Linked DNA regions of Rhinolophus ferrumequinum. The protein of the gene in region 1 purifies or fractionates together with the protein of each later gene. This does not show direct contact. Links are inferred from orthologs where the notes say so. Each region holds a gene or a part of one and is shown in the gene's direction. Other genes may lie near its edges.

The links. The genes of interacting proteins can lie anywhere in the genome.
Region 2: the proteins of STRN (region 1) and SIKE1 purify together in Homo sapiens (affinity purification with mass spectrometry; 4 studies listed by BioGRID and IntAct, with this or other methods). This does not show direct contact. The link is inferred for Rhinolophus ferrumequinum from reciprocal best matches to the Homo sapiens genes STRN and SIKE1.

What each region holds. Positions count from the first base shown.
Region 1 is NC_046296.1:46,312,008-46,320,364, forward strand, and holds the start of STRN (striatin), read left to right. Parts: upstream 1-5,014; 5' UTR 5,015-5,158; coding exon 5,159-5,392; intron 5,393-8,357. UniProt on the Homo sapiens protein: Calmodulin-binding scaffolding protein which is the center of the striatin-interacting phosphatase and kinase (STRIPAK) complexes.
Region 2 is NC_046305.1:45,449,268-45,456,746, reverse strand, and holds the start of SIKE1 (suppressor of IKBKE 1), read left to right. Parts: upstream 1-4,194; 5' UTR 4,195-4,257; coding exon 4,258-4,416; intron 4,417-4,659; coding exon 4,660-4,765; intron 4,766-5,658; coding exon 5,659-5,801; intron 5,802-6,980; coding exon 6,981-7,094; intron 7,095-7,479.

The sequences.
Region 1 (8,357 bases):
GACTCCAAAAAAAATTTCCGATAAAGGACTGCCTTTACTTCCCAGCTTGTGATGGGCTGTTTCCCTAACCCAGTCATTACCAGACTTCAAATCTAGAGAATAAGTTTGGAGGCTGAGGACTAACCCCTGAAGGAGGGTAGACAGGAAGGAGAGGTGAGAGAAATTAGGGAGTGGCAGATGGTACAAGAGGTTGATAAACAGTGGGCTATTGCATGTTCCTCTTCCCCAAAGTTCCATTCATCCTAGCAGAAGCTTCTCTCCAGTCAAGTGGTCCACCTTTTTTTTTTTTTCTTGGCAGAATTCTGAAAGCCATCTGGTTCAATTTGAAGCCTTTTCTTTGAGCAGTTAGAGTCAGAGACCTAAAGAACAGGTCATTTTGAACTTTTTTTTTTTTTAATAGCCACTCATATTAATGAAAAAAAAAACAAACAAACTGATGAATTATTTGCCATTTTGTAGAATTATAATCCCCACCCTACAAAGGACACACACATAAGCCAAAAAAATAGCCAGCACTCCAATTATCTAAGTAAGATATTAGCATGCTACAATTTTTCATTTTAAACTGGGTACATCGATATATATAATCAACATTTTGACAGCTGCTCTGTGCTTGGAAAGGAAACCCTGTTTTTGTGTCACAAGGCTTTATTAATTCTAAAATGAAATGATCTGGAAATCAGCAATACCTTGAGGTCTGAGGCTTACTGGTTGGGCATACACATTAATGTTTTAAAAGATTATTTTAATTCTGCTGAATTAAAGTTCTGAATAAGGAATGAGAAAGAAAAAAGAATAATGGTTAAGCCCCTAGTATTTATGAATTTTACATGTGTGATTTCAGTCGTGTGAACTCTATTACAATAATAGCTATCACTTTTCACTGTATATTGTATGTGAGGCCCTATGCTAGGGAATTTACATTTCTTCTCTCATTTAATCTCATAGTGACTTTATAAGGTAAATATTATTCTCATATTAAAAATGAGAGACTTGCAGCAGAAAAAGGTTAAGCCATTTGTCCAAGATGTTCCCATTTGGAAAAGTGTAGAGTGGGGAAGATAATTTAGGTTTAACTAATTATAAATGTCATGTCCTTTCTAGCTATTTTTTCAGAATTTTTTTTTCAAATTTAAAAACATTTTGCTGTAGTGTTTGTGAATGCTCATCGAGAGAGTCTTCTGGGATTCCTGAAATGTTTCATGATCTGGGCGGTGGTTATATGTAAGGATTCATTCAGTTTGTGAACGTTCACTGAGGTGTTCACTTATCACTTGTGAGATTTTCTCTGTTATATGTGATAAAATGTTCTTTAAAAAGTACTTCATGCTGAATACAGAAAATGTGAAAGACATAAGCACAAAGGGGGAAAAATTCACAGGTCTTTTGTGGTTCCATATAAATTTTAGGTTTGTTCTATTTCTATGAAAAATGTCATTGGTATTTTGACAGGGATTACATTGAATCTGTAGATTGCTTTGGGTAATGTGCACATTTTAACAATATTAAGTCTCCAAATCCATGAGCATGGAGTATTTTTCCACTTATTTGTGTCTTCTTCAATTTCTTTCCGTAATATCTTATAGTTTTTGGTATACCACTCTTTCACCTTGGTTAAATTTACCTGTATTTTATTACTTTTGACGCAATTGCAAATGGGATTGTTTTCTTCATTTCTTTCTGATAGTTCATTGTTAGTGTACACAATGATAGTTCATTGCTAGTGTAAACACAACAGATTTTTGTGTATTCATTTTGTATCCTGCAAATTACTGAATTCATTTATTACTTCTAATAGTTTTTTGAAGGAATGTTTATGGTTTTTTGTTTATATCATATCATCTGCAAATAGGGACAGTTGTACTTCTTCCTTTCCAGCTTGGAGGACTTTCAATTCTTTTACTTTCCTAATTGCTCTGGCTAGGACTTCCAATACCATATTGAATAAAAGTGGCAACAATGGATATTCTTCTCTTGTTCCCGATCTTAGAGGAAAAGCTTTCAGCTTCTCACTGTAGGGAATGATGTTCATTGTGGGCTTGTTATATATGGCCTTCGTTATATTGAAGTGTTTCATTTATGCCCACTTTGTTATCATAAATCGATGTTGAATTTTGTCAAATGCTTCTTTTGCATCTATTAAGATGATCATGATTTTTATCCTTCATTTTGTTAATGTTACGTATCACATTGACTGATTTATTGATACTGAACCAGCCTTGCCTCCCTGGAATAAATCCCACTTAATAATGGTGTTTGATCCTTTTTTTTTTTTTTTTTTTAAAGATTTTATTGGGGAAGGAGAACAGGATTTTATTGGGGAACAGTGTGTATTTCCAGGACTTTTTCCAAGTCAAGTTGTTGTCCTTTCAATCTTAGTTGTGCAGGGCACAGCTCAGCTCCAGGTCCAGTTGCCGTTGCTAGTTGCAGGGGGCGCAGCCCACCATCCCTTGTGGGAGTCAAGGAATCGAACCTACAACCTTGTGGTTGAGAGCCCACTGGCCCATGTGGGAATTGAACCGTCAGCCTTCGGCATTAGGAGCACGGAGCTCCAACCGCCTGAGCCACCGGGCCGGCCCCCTGTTTGATCCTTTTAATGTATCGTTTTATTTGCTTTGCTAATAGTTTGTTGAGGATTTTTGCATCTGTGTTCATCAGGGATATTAGCCTAATATTCTTTTCTTGTGGTAACCTTAACTAGTATTGGAATCAGGGTAATGCTGCCCTTATAAAATGAGTTTGGAAAAGTTCCTTCCATTTCTATTTTTTGGAAGAGTTTGAGAATTACTGGTATTAATTCTTCTTTGGATGTTTGGTAGAATTCACCTGTGAAGCCATCTGGTCCTTGACTTTTGTTTGTTGGGAGGCATTTGATTACTGATTCAAGCTCTCTATTAGTTTTTGGTCTATTCAGCTTCTCTGTTTCTTCATGATTCTGTCTTGGTAGGTTGTATGTTTCTAGAAACTTATCCATTTCTTCTAGGTTGTACAATTTGACCTATAATTGTTCATAGTAGTCTCTTGATCCTTTCTATTTCTGTGGTAACAGTTGTAATATCTCCTTTCATTTCTGATTTTATTTGAGTTCTCTTTTTTTTCTTGGTGAGGCTAGCTAAAGGACTTATGGGTTCTTAAACCATTAAATTTAATTATGTTTACTAGTGTTAGGAATTTAAAGGAATCGTCAGATATGTATTCTATTAGAGAAAAACAACTTTTAACATTCAAAACTTCTAAGATTACTTAAATCCTTCAAATAAAAAAAATATACCATTGTTGCATTATTGCTCCCTTGATACTCTGATAGGTCTGATAAGTAAGAGAGAAAGCAGCATGTTAAAGGAAAGATCAATGAACTAGCAGTCAGGAATTCTGGTTTCTAGTTTTGGCTGTGCCACTTGCTCAAAGCCTGATTGTGGACAAGTCTCAACTTCTTTGGACTTCAGTTTCTTCAACTGTAAAATGAGAGGATTGGGCAGTATCTCAAAGGCCACTTACAGCCAAAATAATTTATGACACTGGTGATTTGGCCAGGCTTGGATCAAATTTTTATTACAATAAAGAATGAATAAAGCACAAACATTCAACAAGTGGGAGAACAAAACTTGCCATCTTGATTTGCAACTAGAGCAGATACAATGTGTTTCCTGTTCTTTCCACAAGTAGTCATGGAAAGGGAGGTGGGAAGAGGACAGGGACAGGGGCAGGATATCCTTCCCTGGCATGTCACTCACCAGCCTATATAATTTTTTCATGGCCACTGGGTCTGATATCCCAGAAGTCCATCCCACAAAACTAAAAAATTACAAATAAATTATTTTGGAGAGAGAATGAGTCCTTAATTTTATTTGCTATATTTTTTTTCAAGCGAGTTCCTTGCATTGGGTGAATTTATATAGTGACATAATTTCAGGGACTTCAGGGAAAGATAATATTTACAGAGAAACACCTTCAAGAACTTTAGTGTGCCTTTGGTAGGCTAATACTGTTGCTAGTTTGTAGGTGAACGGTGGACGAAACTGGAAACTGGACAAGTGAAAAGAGAGAAATGCCCGGAGACCTAAAACATTTCTAGGGAGCAGAAAGGGACTTTGTTCTTTCGAGTAGTATAGCTTTAAGTCACTGTGAGATTGATTATATACTTGCCAACCTCCCTTTGATGACAGGAACTGTGTCACTTATCTTTATATCCCTAGCGACAGATATAACCGACAATTAAGTATTTGTTGAATTGACTTGAGCAAAAACTGCGCGGGCATAAGGTAGGGAAAAAGAGACCAGAATAACATCACCTTGGATATCTGAAACTTTTTAAAAGATTTACTGCAAGATTAACTACAAAGGGAAAGGGACTTCAACGGAGCACTTTTTCAGATGAGATGTCAACCAACCAGAACAGGAAAGAGAGGTCATGAGAGTTCCTTGAAAACTGATCAGGCAACAGGTTTGAACCCCCAACTGAAAAAGAGGAGCGACAGCGATACGCAGATTGGCAGAACTGAGGAGTGTCTAGGGTCAGAGAAAAACCAAAGTCAGAGCCCAAGGGAGAGGCTGAAGAAACTCCGTCCACGGGCCGGCCCAGAGAAGCTTGCTTTGAGCTTGTTTCTTAACAGAACTATCAGCAAGCCCTAAAAGATGTGCAGTACGGGCTGATATTTCAGCCTGATAACTTCCGTGTGTGTGTGTGTGTGTTGGCCTAACTTCCGTGTGTGCGTGTGTGTGCCTGTGTGTGCAACAAGGAGCGCCACCCGTGAACTTCCGCGTGCGACGGACCCCGAAGTGTCGCCCTGCCGCGCCCCGTCCTGCCCCACCTGTGAGGAAACCTGCACTCGCGGAGGGGCGGGTCCCCACCGCCGCGGGCAGGGGCGGGGCCGCGGCGCGTCGGAGCCTTCCGCAGCCCCACAGGCCGCCTCAGCCACGCTCGCCGTCGCCCCGCCCCGCGACTACATTTCCCAGCAGGCCGCAGGGCGCCCGCGCGCCGCAGTTGACCCATTTCCCGGCCCGTCCCGGGCTCGGCCGGCCCCCGCGCCCAGGCGGCTGCTCCCTGCTGACTGGGGTGTGGGCGGGGAGCGGCGGAGGGAGGAGGAGGCGCTGCTGGCCGCCGCCGTTGCCTCCGCTGCTGGGCGCCTGGGCAGCACCCCAGGTTTCCGCGGCCGCCATGGACGAGCAAGCGGGTCCCGGAGTCTTCTTCAGCAACAACCATCCGGGCGCCGGCGGTGCCAAGGGTCTCGGGCCTCTGGCGGAGGCTGCAGCGGCCGGCGACGGGGCGGCTGCGGCAGGGGCGGCCCGAGCCCAGTACAGCTTACCCGGGATCCTGCATTTCCTCCAGCATGAGTGGGCCCGCTTCGAGGTGGAGAGAGCCCAGTGGGAGGTGGAGCGGGCGGAGCTGCAGGTAAAGACCCTCCCGGCCTGGCCCTTTTTATCCCGCCTCTTTGCTCTCTTCCGCCCCGCCCCGGACCCTTTCCCCTCCCCCCTCTGCCCTCGCTGGTCCACTCCCCTTTGCTCCTGCCCATCCTACCCAGAACTGTCCCCTTCCCCCTTCACCTTTGCTTTAGGCTGACCCCACTTCCTTGACTCGGGTTCCCATTCCCGCCCTGACGCGTTGTTTACCCTCCCCGCTCCTTTTCTTCTACTCCTTCCTTCTCCTAACTCTCTCATTTCAACTCTTGCCATCCCTCATTTTAGGTCTTCTCTCTGAGTATACTAATTGGGCTGACAGTAGTTTTGAAAGATGTCGAGCAAATCATCCTGTCCCAGTGAGTCCCATCTTAGGTCTAGAGACGTTCCCCGCCGTAGGTATTGGCAGTTGGCTCCTCTCTGAGAGGAAGGTGATCAAAGAAGACATCAGAAGTTGTGTCTGTGAGGCCTTGACTTAGGCAAGAAGCTGACGTAGGGCAGAAGTGTAACTAGGAATATCAGCTCCCTTCTTACATATGTGAGTGTTTTTTCTCTTTCCCTCTCCCTCTCCCTGCTGCCACTTTTCCTTTAGGTATTTCAGATTCGTGGATTTTAAAATGAAGAACCTAGATAATCGCAATCAGATGATGGTTCAGAGATGGTTTCCTGTTCTTAGAATCAAAAACTTCCCAAGGATTAATTTTATGTTCAGTGTTTTGTGAAATTGACGTTCACTTCAAAAGGAACTAAAAGGGGCTTTAAAGTTGGTTACATTTCCTTGTATAATCTGCAAGGTAAAAGTATATCCAGGGAGGACCTATTGTGGGCTCTTAGAAGAATGAAAGTGAGGCTGATACTTTACGGGCCATTCTGAATTGGTAAATAGGTTTCAGTGGCTGTTCTTACAACTTCCAAGCCATGCACCAATTTCACAGGGAACCTAACTATGCGTAGCTGTGCCTTTCTGTTTTACTGGCTAATCCTGTATGCTGATGAAATCTGAATATACGTTGTTTTGGTTGGTGAAACACTTGTAGTTAAAATGCTACCCAGTGTTTGTTACTCTTTTTTTGGTAACATGTATTTTCCTTGGCACTTAAAAAAATGAAAAGGAGAAATCTGTTAAATAGAATCTGCTGGAACAGGATGCTTTGATACAGTGCAAGTGGCAATGGAAAGAGCAAGGGGACAGGTTATAGTAGACAGGGTTATAGTATGGACTGTGCTTGCTGCTAGCTCTGTGACCTTGAGGAAATCCTTTAACCTCTCTGAACTTCAGTTTCTTCATTCAGTTGCCATAGTGGCAACTGCTTTGAGAAAGATAATTCAGGATACAGGAATAAAGTGTGATAGGGGCAGCTATTTTAGAGGGGGTGGTCAGGGAAGGCCTCTGGGAGGAGTGGAAGGAAGTGAAGAAGTGACCCACAATTTCTAAGATTCCTTCTGATTCCTTTAGTTCTGCAGTTGTATGTTTATATTTGGTGGCTTTTTCATCCCTACTATTATGTTGCTTTTGTATCTGGTCTTTTGATAATTTGTAATTTTTCTTGTAGTGAATCTGACCGTGTCAGTATAGTAACCAGCAGACTTAAATGCTTCATTCAAATATTGGTAATTCACCTTTGTTAGAAGTGCATTCCATAAATGAACTTGTGGATTTCAGACTTAAAGGAAGTGTTAAAGGCAGGTGTTAATTTTAACATTGTTCAGTTGTTGAACACACACACACCACTTACGGGGTTATTTATGGCAAATGTTAAACTTAAGGTAGGTTTCCCATTGGTACTCATCATATTAAGGACACTACATTTCTACAGTATTTTTTGGTTTTGGGTTTGTGCTCAAATTAAGCATCCACAGAGGAACTTTAAAAAATACATCCTATTTTCCAAACAGAGCAAGTATTATGTCTTTTAGAGGGGGAGAGAGTTTGCAGAAATCTATGGTTTTGATCCCCGTATTAGCATTATTGAAACTATATTTTAAAAATAATTTCTTTACATTGACATCGTTAAATTTGAACATATTCCTTCATTTTTCTTTTGCGATTGGAATTTTCCTGGAAAAACAATAGGAAGTAAGAGTTGAATGAGTGATGATGAAATTTGGATCAGTTGGTGTCCTTTTTTTAAATTTAAAATCTCTTCTCAAGTCATTAACATCAAAGTCAACAAAAATACCTTTAAGATTAAGTCTAATGTGTCCCTTCAGGAACCTGTCAGTCCTGCTTTTTCAGGTTGCCAGGTCAGAATTGTGAAAGACAATCCACGCTCTCAGCTATCTACCTGGTCTGCCTTCATCACTTCCTCCTTCAGATCTTGGGAATAAGGAACTGGCCACATTATACCAAAACTTATTTGTCATTTCTTCCCCTTTGCCCATCTTAGTTAATAAGACTCTCTTTTTACTTTTCATAATCCCCCTCCTCCCTAACCACCACCATTGCAGGTGAGAGTAGGTGGTCAAAGAATGGTCAAGATTATTGCTGAGGTTTATATTTGTGAAAAAACTTGGAGATGGGATACATAAAATTCGAGAGAATTTTCTGTGTGTGCTACAATGGGCTAGATGACCTCAAAGAAACATGCAGTCTAGTTGGAGTGATAGAACAAACAAAATGCATAAGAATCGGAGTATTTATTATTTGGGGGGTTTAAATTTTCTTAGACTAGCACAAGAGAGCAGCTAGCAGTGAGTGGGGAGAATAGCAGAAAGAAAGAACTTTATGAGACCCTAAGTTTCTCTGTATTTGAAAATTACTGACTTAAGGGAAAGCAAGCATGTAAATAAAAGATAAAAATTATTGGCCCTAGATTTTGGGGGGTGTGTGTGTGTAAGTAATAGGGGAGGCTCTGTTATTTACCTGGAAATGCTAGTACTGTGAAAAAGGTGTCAGGATTGAGTAGCTCAGGGCATGTGGTGTGGCGGCTGGTACTAGAATGTTTATGAATCTGGATTTT
Region 2 (7,479 bases), on another chromosome or scaffold:
AAAGTTTACTTTTATAGGCTACAGCAACAATATCTAAAGTCAGAGTGCCTCTTAATTAGAATTAACATTCACATGGAAAATTTTATAATACAAACTAATATCTGCTTTTCTGACATGCTAGAAGACTAAACATTTCTCCCTATCTTGTTGAGATTTCTTTCACCATAATTATGAGGGTCTGTGGTTTTTCAAGGCTGAGTCCTAGAAAGCCATTAGTTAGCAGCAACAGGAAAAAATAGGTCTGAGAGTTCAAAACTCACCATGTAGAAAGAAAAAGGAGCAAAATAGGGTATTTAATAAATGCAATATGGGACATATATGTGTGGACAATCACTGAAAGAAGCCATGGGGGTACAAGGGGTCAGGTAAAGTCGAATATCTCTGCCCTTGTCTCTGTTGTGGACCATTGAAACCACCATCTGCTCCCAGAGCCCTGTGTTCTCATACCTCTGAGCAGAGTTTCTCAGGTTCAGGGAAAGGAGTAAGTCTGTTACCTGTCTGTGTGGTGTGGCTACAGCAATGGGCATGGTACTAGAAGAGGTATTTCTAGAAAAATGTCCAAGTGTCTCCCTCCCTAGAGTTCATGTAAGTGTGTAGGAGTCACATTTGGCATTTGGATCATCGGAGGATCACTGGGCTAAGGTGTATACTCTGAGAGAGGCACAAGTAGAACTGCTGATAGGGCCATCTGAGAGCTGAGAATAAAGGGAGGGAGACCCAAAATCACTTCCTGACCCAAAAGAGTAAGAGTGAAATAATAAAGAGGAAATGGAACCGAGAAACAGGAGCCAGACAGAAATTAGGTCAGAATGGAAATAAGTCAGAACAAGCAAAAGAGGTCTTGGGCAGTTTGTGTAATACCCATAAACAGCACTAGAAGTGCCTGAGCTTATCTTATTGGTTTATTGATGGGTGGGATGCAGAAGTATTGGGATGGCTTGAAAGTTACAGGTCCCTTCAATTTCATGTTTCCCCATCTCGAATCCATATTTATATCTATCCTTTTTATTTTCTTTCGAATTAAGGAGAATGAAATGTTTCTTATTCTATTCAAATCCAGATTCTTCAGCCCACCATCCTAATAAATAATCAACAAAGGTCTATTAAATAGCTATTGTGTCCCTTCTCTTCCCTCAAATGTCCCCTACTCTCTTGTATCTGTTTCTTTTTTTTATATAAGATTTTATTGGGGAAGGGGAATAGGACTTTTATTGGGGAACAGTGTGTACTTCCAGGACTTTTTTCCAACACAAGTTTGTTGTCCTTTCAATCTTAGTTGTGGAGGGCGCAGCTCAGCTCCAGGTCCAGTTGCCATTGCTAGTTGCAGGGGGCGCAGCCCACCATCCCTTGCGGGAATCAAGGAATCGAACTGGCAACCTTGTGAGAGGACGCGCTCCAACCAACTGAGCCATCTGGGAGCTCAGGGGCAGCTCAGCTCAAGGTGCCATGTTCAATCTTAATTGCAGGGGGCTCTGCCCACCATCCCTTGCGGGACTCAAGGAATTGAACTGGCAACCTTGTGGTTGAGAGCCCACTGGCCCATGTGGGAATCGAACTAGCAGCCTTCGGAGTTAGAAGCACGGAGCTCTAACCGCCTGAGCCACCGGGCCGGCCCTTGTATCTCTTTCTTGATTGGATCCTTCCTCTATAAAGCCTATAAGCATGCTCAAGACTTGTTCATAAAAACAAAATAAAAAACATAAACAAGAACCCTCTCTTATTTCTGTATCCCCTTTTAACCACTACTAGAATCATTGGATTGGTCAAGGGTTAGAGTTAACTGCTTGCATTTGGCTTAAAAAGAGAGGTGCAAAGAAATTAGGGATGTTAGAAAGACAATGGTTCTGACCGCCAATCATAAGAGCCCAGTCTGGTCAGGGAAAGAAAATTAGACCACAAGAAAAGAGTCTGAAATATATGGTGATGGAAGGAGAACTGACTCTAGGTGGTGAACACACAATGGGATTTATAGATGATGCAATACAGAATTGTACACCTGAAATCTATGCAACTTTACTAACAATTGTCACCCCAATAAACTTTAATTAAAAAAGAAAGAAAAGAGTCTGATAGGTAGGGGGAATATTGATATATTCAGAAATCGGAGAGCTGGATGATGTCAGAGATAGTAGTGGAATAAAGGGTTGCAAGAACTAGACAGGTTGAAACAAAGGCTGTGGTCAAAGAATTAGATGGTAAAGCTTAACATTTCTGATGAGGAACAATTTTTGGTAAATGATCAAGGGTTTGGCCATAGGTAACCGAAAAAAAAAATTGAATGTCTCTAGAACTGAGGGGGCTGAGGAAGGATAGAACATTAGATGAATTGTCCCCATGGACATGAATGTCATCCAAGGTGAGAACCACACATGGATTAATCAAAAAGACTATAAGCCAACTCCTGAAATCTTCTATGAATGAAGGGGAATATTCAAGGTAGAAGGTTAATCATTGGTAGTCAGAAGGAGAGATAGAAGATTCTTCAGCTGGATGATACAAACTTTAAATAATGTGGAGGTTTTACATCGCAAGTAAGAGTAATTGTTTATCAGTGTCACTGGGGAATTAGTATGACCCGTCTTGCTCTGTCTTAATGTGGGTGGTACATAGAAAGATAATTGCCTGCCACTGAAAGGGCAGCAAGGGGTTGTGCTAGAGCTGTGGAGATGACTTGAGGTAGGGAGAAGACCAGCTGGAAGACTGTGGCTTCATCTGGGTGAGTAGCAGTGAAAATACAAAGAAGGAAATATCTCCCAAAGATATAAAAGAGATAGGTTGCTTTGGTAACTGATTAGTGTAAAGAATTCGTAGGAAGAGTAAGGGATGACTTCCAGGATTCTGTTTTGAGCAAATAGGTGTATAAATGTGCTCTTTACTGAAACAGGAGAAGGAACAGGTTTAGAAGCAAAGATAATGCTGTATTTCCAGACACTAAACAGTTCCTGAAAAGAAGGCTCTCCAAAAATATTTACTAAAGTAATGAATGAAAAAGAACAAAGTTTGACGTACAAGCTTGACAAGGTAAACTCATAAACCATTATAACAAGCAGCACAAAAGTCATTGCTCTTCTGGTTAAATTTATCCTCAAGTTATTAATTGAATTAAAATAGAAGATATAGGCAAACAGAAAACAATGACTCCATCTCACACCCATTAAGATGACTATCAAATAACAACAACAACAACAACAAAAAAAAAACTCAGAAAATAGTGTGGAGGAAAAACCGAAAATAGCAAGGATGTAGAGAAATTGGAACCACTAAGCACTGTTGGTGAAAATGTCAAATGGTGCAGCCACTGTGGAAAACATTATGGTCATTCCTCAAAATTTTTAAAATAAGAATTATCATATGACCCAACAATTCCACTTCAGTGTACACACCCAAAAGAATTGAAAGCAGGGACTCAAACAGATATTTGTACGCCCATGTTCGTAACAGCATTATTCACAGTAGCCAAAATGTGGAAGCAACCCAAATATCTATCAATGGATGAATAAACAAAATGTGAGATAGATAGATATATTCAGCCCTAAAAAGATAGGAAATTTTTTTGTGACATGGATGGATGAACCTTGAGGACATTATGCTAAGTGAAATAAGCCAGTCACAAAATGACAAATGTGATTTGTATGTTTCCACTTACATGAGGTACCCAAAGTAGTCACATTCATAGAGACAGAAAGTAGAATAGAGGTTGCCAGGGGTTGAGAGGAGGGCCAAATAGGGAGTTAATGTTTAATGGCTACAGAGTTCCAGTTTTGCAAGATGAAAAGATTTCTGGAGAAAAATAGATGGTGGTGATAGTGGCACATGGTGAATACAGTTAATACTGTCGAGCTGTACATTTAAAAAATGGTTAAGATGATAAATTTTAGGTGTATTTGACCACGATTTTTCAAAAACTAAATGGGGGGAAAAAAGATGACTTAATAAGAATCCACATCTATCAAAAACCAATAGGGAAAGTAGAAACTGGGACCGCCCAGCTAAAACTCCACCACCAGGCTGTGGGAACAGGAAACCAAGGGCGTGGCGAGGGCAGGCCTCAGGCTCTGCCAAGGGCGGGGCCCAGGGAAGCCACTGAGGAAAGGGTCCTTGGAGGAGTAGGATGCCACCGCGCAGGCGCATCTCACGGCTGCCCCGGCGCCTTTTAAGCGTACCCGGAAGTGACGTTATTGCCGCTGAGACAGGTGGGGGAGGAGCCGAGCGGTTCGCTTAGGGGAGCAGCGCTGGAGCTGTGGTCCCGCGGCCGCTATGAGCTGCACCATCGAGAAGATCCTGACAGACGCTAAGACGCTGCTGGAGAGGCTGCGGGAGCACGATGCGGCCGCCGAGTCGCTGGTGGATCAGTCGGCGGCGCTGCACCGGCGGGTAGCGGCTATGCGGGAGGCGGGCACAGCGCTTCCGGACCAGGTCAGGCAGAGGGTAGGGACGGGTCCGTGTTCTCAGGTTCTGGGCACTTGACAGGTGGAAGGCGAGGTCGAGTGGGAACTTGGCCTGGAATGTCTTCTGTCTGGTCTCAGAGGGCGGCGGTGAGAGCTTCCTGCGGGGTCGGGGATGAGAATGCTGCGCCGGAGCCCTGACTCCTGCCTCTTAGGTTCCTGCATCTGCGGCTGTTCTGTTGACGGCGCGCTTCGTCTGTCTCTGTTTGTCCAGTATCAAGAGGATGCATCCGATATAAAGGACATGTCCAAATACAAACCTCACATTCTGCTGTCCCAAGAGAATACACAGATTAGAGACTTGCAGCAGGAAAACAGAGGTTAGTCAGTCCTTTTTGTGGAGTTACTATGATTTTGTTATATCCGGTAATAATTCAAAAGTTCTTGCAAACCTGCCGACCTGTTCACAAACGTGCACACGCTGTATGTACTTCCAGGTCACTACTTTTAATAAGAGCGTTACCCTGTGCTGGCCCGGTAACAATAAAGTTTGTTACATTACTCTTTTCAAGGTTGTCCGACTCATTTTATTTGTAGGCAGCTTATCAAAGAGGTGCTTAGCAGAGTTGAATTGTTGCGTGGCTTTATTTAGGCCTCCCCAGTTGGAGGCTTGCACAACAAAAGAATTAATATCCTCAAGGGATTAAAATTCAATGTTTAAATATTAATTGAAATAAGTACTAAAATTAAGATCGAAGGTATTTTTAATGTTCTTGTGCAAGGTGGGAGAGCTGAATTTTTTACTTTAGGGAATGTATTCTTGGTCTGGATGAGTACGTTATTAATGACTGTGAATAGTCATTTGTATACTCGTTTACAGAGGGTTTCCACATAGGTCATCCCATTGTATTCTTGTATCTTCATTTTGAGTTCAAACAAGCTGGTATTATTACAATGCAGATAAGAAATAGGTTCAAAGAGGTTAAGTGATTTGCTTAAGAGCATTAAGCTAGTAACTCACAGAACTGAACTCAAGCCCATGCCTTCTGATTCTGTATCCCATGTTTCTACCAAACTATGCTGCCTCTGCCTAGAAAGTTTTGTTTCACATAGACCTTAACTGTTGAGTTTTGTGGAGCTGAACACTGATTTACAACTTTGGAGTAACAACAGCTCATGGAGTGCCATACAATTCCAACTGGTAAGAATTTGGCTTGGCTTTGAGAGCTATCTTTCAGGCATCACTGCCAAGTTATTTCATTTTTTGATATAGAGCTATGGGTTTCCTTGGAGGAACACCAGGATGCTTTGGAACTCATCATGAGCAAGTACCGGAAACAGATGTTACAATTAATGGTTGCTAAAAAAGCTGTGGATGCTGAACCAGTCCTGAAAGCTCACCAGTCTCACTCTGCTGTAAGTCACTTTGAGGAGTAAATTCTCAGTGAACTGAAAATTGAAATCTTGGAATTGTTTTCGATTGTGTGCTTGCTTCTGAAGAAAAGTTAGTGTGTTTTCCTTTCGTGTTTATTAGATTCGCTGTTGATTTTGCTATAGCTGTGTCAAGATATGAATAGAAAGAAGGAGGTGAGGGGCTGCTCAAGTCCTTTTATTTGAGTAGGACCAAGGTTCCTCCTTCCCTCACCAAGATCTCTTTCCAAGATGTTGATGAATGCTTAGTTCTTCCACCAAACATAATGCCAGTTAGTGTTGAAGGTGCTGAGTAAATACTTGATGGGTTATTACTGCACATTTCACTACACTGTAAACTCCTTGGCTGTAAGAAGTATGAATTCATCTTTTATCCCTAACATAGTACCTGGCACATAGCAGGCAGTCAGTAAACCTTTATTAAACTGAGCTACCGAGCACACTCTTGTTAAGAGAGAGAAGTATGGTTTAAAAATACATACATGGTATAGTTTCTACACTTTGGTTGTTCATAACTTAATTTGGGAGACCCAGTAATTGTTCTTCTGTCTGTAGAGTGCTTCATAGTTGTCATTGTGTATTCACATGTACTAAATCATTTAATCCTGGCTTAATAGAATGGTGCCTCACTATTTGCTACAGTGGAATTTATGAAAAGTTTTCTTAGGTTCTACTGAAAACATTTTACTGACTTAACAAAAGTCTTAGGGAACAGGGATGTTTTAAATATGTTTATGGCTTTCATCTAGAAGAGAAAAATAAACTTTATTTTCTTTAGACTAGAGGAGAAAACTTGAACCTTGAAGGACACAGAATTTAGCTCATGAAAGACTTTCTAAGAGATAAGTACATAGACAGAATAAGGTACCTTAGAATATGCAGAGCTTGCCAATATTCTAATTTAAGTTAAACAGCCAGTTAAGAGATATTGTCCAACATCCAGTGGGTGGTTAGACTAGAATTGATCTTTTGAAAACAAATTATTTGTGAATACCACAAGATAACTTGATCATGGCTTCACCTCTGAGGACTCAGTGAAACTCCTGTGTAACCTGTAGCATAATTCAATGAACTTTTTAACATCGTATTGCACATGTTCTCATGAACTTCCTATCTGTAGGAAAGATGACTTTTTCACCTTTTTTTGTGTTAATATCTTCCCAGGAAATTGAGAGTCAGATTGACAGAATCTGTGAAATGGGAGAAGTGATGAGGAAAGCAGTTCAGGTGGATGATGACCAATTTTGTAAGATTCAGGAAAAACTAGCCCAATTAGAGGTAAGATTATTGCTGTTTTGAATTCACAATATTTCATGGAGTTTTCATAGAGCCTGGAAGGTATACCATTACTATCTTATCATTGCAATGTATTGATGTTTTCTGTGTGCTCATGATTTAAAATTAAAACTCCTCCTCCATACCCTTTTCAAAAAAGGAAATATAATCAGTGGCAAACAATGAAAATGCCAACTATGTATTGGCTAGAAATTGAAATATTATCAGATCAAGAGGGTAGAGAGAATGGAAGGGACAGATTACATGTGAACTAAAATCCCTCATCTGCCATAAAAGGAAATTCACTAGATAATGTCTAAAATTGATGATCAGGAAATAGCAGTTACAAGGATATTATTTAAAATTATAGAAGTAAATACCAAAGAAA